Callithrix jacchus: one gene and its partner. The protein of the gene in region 2 purifies or fractionates together with the protein of the main gene of each other region. This does not show direct contact. Links are inferred from orthologs where the notes say so. Each region holds a gene or a part of one and is shown on either strand. Other genes may lie near its edges.

The links.
Region 1: the proteins of BRK1 (region 2) and ABI1 purify together in Homo sapiens (co-immunoprecipitation; 3 studies listed by BioGRID and IntAct, with this or other methods). This does not show direct contact. The link is inferred for Callithrix jacchus from reciprocal best matches to the Homo sapiens genes BRK1 and ABI1.

The regions. Positions count from the first base shown.
Region 1 is NC_133508.1:27,126,942-27,130,696, reverse strand, and holds the end of ABI1 (abl interactor 1), read left to right. Parts: intron 1-1,894; coding exon 1,895-2,070; 3' UTR 2,071-3,725; downstream 3,726-3,755. UniProt on the Homo sapiens protein: May act in negative regulation of cell growth and transformation by interacting with nonreceptor tyrosine kinases ABL1 and/or ABL2. May play a role in regulation of EGF-induced Erk pathway activation. Involved in cytoskeletal reorganization and EGFR signaling.
Region 2 is NC_133516.1:67,298,125-67,301,879, forward strand, and holds the end of BRK1 (protein BRICK1), read left to right. Parts: intron 1-1,727; coding exon 1,728-1,810; intron 1,811-2,369; coding exon 2,370-2,396; 3' UTR 2,397-3,301; downstream 3,302-3,755. UniProt on the Homo sapiens protein: Involved in regulation of actin and microtubule organization. Part of a WAVE complex that activates the Arp2/3 complex. As component of the WAVE1 complex, required for BDNF-NTRK2 endocytic trafficking and signaling from early endosomes.

The sequences.
Region 1 (3,755 bases), on a different chromosome or scaffold from region 2:
AATTCTTGTGATTTAATTGATGACTTTTGGTTGCCTTTGAAATATATTTCCTTCTATTGGCTTTAATTGGGTTAATGGACTTTAAGTAGCTGTAACTCTTTCGACCAGCAGCATTCTTTCCTGCCCAAGTTTTGGATATGTGGCAAAAGTAAATTTGTTTTCTTTTTTTTTTTCTTTTTTTGAGACAGAGTCTCACTCCATCACCAGGCGGCAGGCTGGAGTGCAGTGGCACCATCTCGGCTCACTGCAACCTCTGCCTCCCAGGTTCAAGCAATTCTCCTGCCTCAGCCTCCCGAGTAGCTGGGACTATAGGCATGCACCCCCATGCCCAGCTAATTTTTGTACTTTAGTGGAGACAGGGTTTCACTATGTTGGCTAGGTGGTCTTGATCTCTTGACCTTGTGAGCCACGGCACCAGGCCGATAATTTACATATTGTTAAGAAAGTCTTAAATATTCTACTTAAGATTCCCATGTACCTTCAAATAGGTGTTATTACTTACGAGGATGATAAACTTGAGTGGTCTTGAATCGAGATTTTACCTATAATTTGCTTATTTGGTAAAGCAAATTTAACTATGAAAATGGGACCATATTTATATAAGTTGACAAATTAGGAATGATATATTGGTTAATATACTTGATAGAAGAGCAGGATTAAAAAGTATCTTCCCAAGTTGGAATAATAATCCTAAACTAGGGGTGAGCACACTTTTTTGGGTACAAAGCCAGATAGTAAATATTTTAAATTTTGCTGGCTATACAGTCTCTGTCACAACTACTCAGTCCTGCTGTGGTAGTGTAAAAGCAGACATAGACAATAAATGAGTAAGTAGATGTGGCCCTCTTGCAATCAAACTTTATTTTCACAAAATGCAGTGGTTTGGATTTGTCCATAGGCCATTTTGTACATTTTAGATTGCTTTCTCTCTCTACAAGTTTGCAAAGGAAATGAATATAGGCTGTGCATCCCTATCTGAAAGCCCCAAATTTAAAATGCTCCAAAATCTGAAACTATTGAATGCCAACATGATGCCGCAAGTGGAAAATTGCACACCTGACCTCATGTGATGGGTCATGGTCAAAATGCAGGCGAATGACACAGTTGATTTAGTGTTCCCAGGGGAAGAATAAAATTACCTTCAGGCTATGTGTATGTGAAACAAAAATGAGTTTTGTGTTTAGACTTGGTTCCCACCTCCAAGATATCTCATTATATGTATGTAAAATTCTAAATCTGAAAAAATTCCCAAATCCAAAGGAGTTTTGATCCCAGGCATTCCAGATAAGGGTTACTCAACCTGTATCTTGAACTGAAAAGAATCACAGATACCACAGAATTGCAAAGTTCTCTAAGTATTAATTAAAATCCTTTAAGAGTAAGTAAATATTCCTTTTCAAGAAATCTGGGAGTAGTCCCACAAATTAGCATGGGTCCCTGAATAAGGAGGATGTGATTTACCTTCCAGTAACTGTGTATTTTCAAATTGGATAGCTTGGGTTGTTACATGCTACTGAATGGCTATGCAGCTTTCTTTGCCTTATAATTATCTTGAAAAGCTGTTCTTTGCATATGATAGGCACTTGGTAGATATTTGAATGAATTAAAACATCTAATAAATTTTAAAATTCAGAGAGCTTTCTTAAAGAGATTGACAGAACCTATTGGCCTCTTCAGTCTAATCAGATTGTCATTTGGTCCTAAGATTAAGCCAGTGATTTAAATACATGTTTGGCCACTGACATACTTATATTGATAAATATAAGAATTAAGAATCTTCATAAAAATAGTTGGTTTGCTGTGCTGTATATTTAATTGGCATTGTCTTAAAATTCAAGTAAATGTTGGATATAGTGCATTCATGTGATATTTCAACTTTTTTTTTCCCCCATAGTTGTTGCAATATATGATTATACAAAAGACAAGGATGATGAGCTGTCATTTATGGAGGGTGCAATCATTTATGTTATAAAGAAGAATGATGATGGCTGGTATGAAGGAGTCTGCAATCGAGTGACTGGTTTGTTCCCTGGGAACTATGTTGAATCAATCATGCACTATACTGATTAATTTTTTTTTTTTTTTTTTTTTTTTGCTTTTAAAGTAGATTCTTATTACTCAGTCATACTGTGGGACTATTATGGTTAACAGACCTGTCTTAATATGTTTTAAAATGTGCCCATATTTTCAGGACATGCTGTTTTATTGGTAAATTGAATGTCTACCTGTAAGCATAAATCTTTGAGGCAGTTTGTATATTGCTAAATAGCAGTTTATACAAGAAGCTGTCCATAACTGATTATGCTTATGTACTTACACATTTTTAACTTGATGACCAGCCTAAATATTCTGGGGAAATGGGGTATAATATTTAACGAATCATGATTCAGATTGTACCATTACATGTTTCAGTGCAGCATGGTTACTAACGCTATGTCAGACTAATATTAAAATCAGAAGATTTAAATGCTGGTGCTGGTCATACTTTTTTGGTTAGAATCTCTCATTTAAAAAAATACTGTTTGTTTAAAGCATGCATAAAAATTTATGTCTTGAAATATACTTAAAAATTCCAAGATGCTTCCAATTTGTGTAATACTTACCTGGAGGACTCGTACTTAGGTGTCTTAAAAATGAATTGAGTCTTCAAGGTCTCCATGTGAAACAAAGAAGCAAAAAGAGAATTATCTGTAATGTTGTAATTTGTACCTAAGTTTTTTAATGAGTGAAATTTGCATTATAAATTTTTTCCATTCATAAATAAGTGAACCAAAGGTTTTTGTCCTTTCCTTCATTGGTTTGCTTTAAAAAAAATAATAAAAGATGATGATTTATTGAAGAATTATGGTTCTATTTTCTCAATATATTAACTTGGAAAAAAATTTTAGCCTTATCTCAATCTGTCCCAACAGCAATGTGACGGAGTTTGCAGATTCAGAATCTGCAGTGGTATTTATGAGTCAGTCTACTGAGTTCCTTTTTTAAAGAATCTTTTGAAGCTAAGAAAATGTGTCAAATTGTGTGCATTCTGTAGGTAAAATTCTTAAGGATTGCCATGTCTTTCAGTTTTACAGTGCGCTGTTGTACGCTGGATCAATGAAAGGAAATTAAAGGTACCTTTTACATATTGTAAAAGTGGATGCAGTTGATTTGTGAATAGGCACTATTGAATCCATTACCTGGCACTAGCAACATTAGAATTTTAAAATGGGGAAAGAAGGTGGGTCATGTATTAATCAGTGAACAGAGATTTACCTGACCAACAGACTTGTACTCTTTTGACGTGATCGAAATGCAACACATGCACTTTGTGTGTCTCCTCTTAAGGGAGGGTTGAGGGATGTTTTCTCTTCCTATCTTGTGTATAATTCTATATTGTCTAGGATATTAAAGTAGAACACTCAAGTGTGGGTTTGTGTTATTGAGGATTTTTTTGGAACTCAAATTCTGTTATATACTGGACATTACAGACTTAACAGCATAGTGAATGGTAAGAATAGTGCAAAACATTTATTTCGGAAAATTAAAGACCATTACTGTTATCAAATCAATGTGACTATTTCATGTGCATTTTGCCTTCGTTAATTTTAAACAGTGTCATTAGTGATCAGGTAGCTACCTTCTACTTTTCATTTTTCAAGTGGATTGTTCTCTTAATTTGTATATAACCTATTGTCTAAATTTTATGTACAGTCTTTTATAATAAACCATTCTCCTATATGAAATTTTGGATACTGTTAAATATAACTCGTGGA
Region 2 (3,755 bases):
AGGCTCCAGGAATTAGGGAAAGGATATTTTTGTGAGACAGACTTTTGCTTTTTTACCCAGGCTGAAGTGAAATGACATGATCTGAGCTCACTGCAACCTCTGTCCCCTGGGTTTAAGCAATTCTCCTGCCTCAGCCTCTCAAGTAGCCGGATTGCAGATGTGCCACCACGACTGCCTAATTTTTGTATTTTTAGTAAGAGATAGGGTTTTACCATGTTGACCAGGCTGGCCCTGAACTCTTGAAATCAGGTGATCCACCAATCTAAGCCTCCCAAAGTGCTAGAATTACAGTTGTGAGCCATTGCGCCAGGCGGTAAAGGACATTTTTATGGGGCCATTATTCACTACTTGCCACACCCGATAGGAAGTTCAAGAGATCCACTCTAAGCAACTGTGCTAAGATACTTCTCACTTACCCACTTCCATTTGTATTCTGTGTATTATATTATTACTCCTCACTGTATCCACTTCCATTTGTATTCTGTTTATTACATTATTACTTCTCACTGTATCCACTTCCATTTGTATTCTGTTTATTACATTATTACTTCTCACTGTATCCACTTCCATTTGTATTCTGTTTATTACATTATTACTCCTCACTGTATCCACTTCCATTTGTATTCTGTTTATTACATTATTACTCCTCACTGTATCCACTTCCATTTGTATTCTGTGTATTACATTATGACTCCTCACTGTATCCACTTCCATTTGTATTCTGTGTATTACATTATGACTCCTCACTGTATCCACTTCCATTTGTATTCTGTGTATTATATTATTACTCCTCACTGTATCCACTTCCATTTGTATTCTGTTTATTACATTATTACTTCTCACTGTATCCACTTCCATTTGTATTCTGTTTATTACATTATTACTTCTCACTGTATCCACTTCCATTTGTATTCTGTTTTTTACATTATTACTCCTCACTGTATCCACTTCCATTTGTATTCTGTTTATTACATTATTACTTCTCACTGTATCCACTTCCATTTGTATTCTGTGTATTATATTATTACTCCTCACTGTATCCACTTCCATTTGTATTCTGTGTATTATATTATTACTCCTCACTGTATCCACTTCCATTTGTATTCTGTGTATTATATTATTACTCCTCACTGTATCCACTTCCATTTGTATTCTGTGTATTACATTATTACTCCTCACTGTATCCACTTCCATTTGTATTCTGTGTATTACATTATTACTCCTCACTGTATCCACTTCCATTTGTATTCTGTGTATTACATTATTACTCCTCACTGTATCCACTTCCATTTGTATTCTGTGTATTACATTATTACTCCTCACTGTATCCACTTCCATTTGTATTCTGTTTATTACATTATTACTTCTCACTGTATCCACTTCCATTTGTATTCTGTGTATTATATTATTACTCCTCACTGTATCCACTTCCATTTGTATTCTGTGTATTATATTATTACTCCTCACTGTATCCACTTCCATTTGTATTCTGTGTATTATATTATTACTTCTCACTGTATCCACTTCCATTTGTATTCTGTGTATTACATTATTACTCCTCACTGTATCCACTTCCATTTATATTCTGTTTATTACATTATTACTTCTCACTGTATCCACTTCCATTTGTATTCTGTGTATTATATTATTTCTCTTTTCAGTGTAGGAGTTATGTGTGTCTGTGTTTGGAGTGACATTAGTCCTAAATGCCAGTCTCTTTTTCCCAGATATGTCATGTCGTTCAAGACTTGCAACACTAAACGAGAAGTTGACAGCCCTTGAACGGAGAATAGAGTACATTGAAGCACGGGTGAGTATGATGGGCAAGGCCATTCCAAGAGAGAATGCATATTTCCACTTACTGCTGACAAAAACCTGAAAGCAGAAACAGTCTTAGGAAACTTAAGCACCGGCCAGACATGGTGGCTCATGCCTGTAATTGCAACACTTCCACTTTGGTAGGCTGAGGTGGGTGAATCACCTGAGGTCAGGAGTTTGAGACCAGCCTGGCCAACATAGTGAAACCCGTCTCTGCTATAAATACAAAAATTAGCCAGCATAGTGGTATGCACCTATAATCCTAGCTACTTGGGAGGCTGAGGCGGGAGAATCACTTGAAGCCGGGAGGTGGAGGTTGCAGTGAGCCAAGATCACACCAGGGCACTCCAGCCTGGGTGGCATAGTGAGACTCGGTCTCAAAAAAAGAAAAAGTTAAACACATTGCCTGGATTTGAACAGGTTTCTGTGACTCACAGCTGTGTTCTTTTCTATTTCTCACTGCTTAGGATCTAAAGTATGATTTTTTTTTTTAAAGATCCCTCTAATATATTTTAATTTATCTAAATGTCAGTTTTCCTTTCCTTTCACAGGTGACAAAAGGTGAGACACTCACCTAGAACAGTGCCGTCCTGCTGCTGGGGAGTTGCTTTACAGAACACAGGCCACATGGGAAAGGCCCCAGCAGCCTTCAGCTCCTTCCTTTCTCCTTAAAGAACAACAGGGCTTATTCTTGTTTTTCTTTTTTCAAAAGTGTGACCTTTGGTCTCTGCCATCTGGGATGTGGTGTGGTATGTGGGGAGAAGTCCAGAGGAACTGTTGGAAACAACATTAGGCATTTTACCTTTTCAGTAACATTTTATAGATCTACTTGTCAATGTATTTGAAATATTCACAGCCAAAAGCCTGGGACTCTTTGTGAAGGTCCTCCCTACCTCTGTCCTTTCTCTCTCTCTCTCTCTCTCTCTCTCTCTCAAACTTTCCTTAAAATTCTCATTGCCTTTGCACTGCTTCTGTGAACAGTCTTTGTCTCCTCCCCACCTTTGGTGGGAAGTGGGGGGCAGTCCTGGCCAAAACACACATGCCCTGGCAATGTGGCTGCCAGAGAATGTTGTTGCTAACCCACCAGTTTCTTGTTGATTTGGGGAGGTCAAGACCAGGCCCCCACTTGGCTTGAAGGGACATTTTCAAACTTTTCTTTCTGTCACTTGGGGTGTCCGTGCCTCTTATATTTCCCTAATAAACTCCTCAATTTTATCTGACTGCTGTGATTATGGTGGGGAGAGGAGCTAGAGATGGGCTTGCTTATTCCACAGAAATGTATATATGGCATTATTATTCTAACATAAAACTTTCAGATATAGCTGTTTGATTCAAAGCCTGGGTGGCTTACCAGCCCAAGTCCCCATGTTTGGACTTTAAGCTGACTAGTGCATCCTGGGAATCAATTCATCATTCAGCACATTTACCAAGTACTTACTATGTAGGCATGTTAAACTCCAATAAAAGATACAGCATTGAATCAGACATGATGCTTACAGTCTGTTGAAATACCAGCATTTACACAATTTAGCCACAATCCAAGGCAGATTATTAGTTTTATAAGGTACACGCTAAATGTCTACTTCTTTGAAAAACAAATGGTTTAAACCAAAGCTTACTTGTACCAACCTACTTGTTAAGGCTTATCCACTATATAGAATCTCTGTTTTAGTCATACAGAAGTCATTATGCTCTGTATACATTAATTTCTCTCAATTCAAATCATGTTTGCCATTCAAAGTCTAGCTCAAGGCAAACTTCCCCCTGAAAGTTCTCCTGGACTTGATTTTTCCATTTAGTATTGCCCTGTTCCTCTTCTTAGTTCCTCCCCATCCTAGCATGCTGATAGTGTGCTTCAGCTCTGGATTTGATCTTGGTATGAATTATTCTCTGATTAGCATAGGCATCTTAGAACAGATATGGACATCTTTGACAAG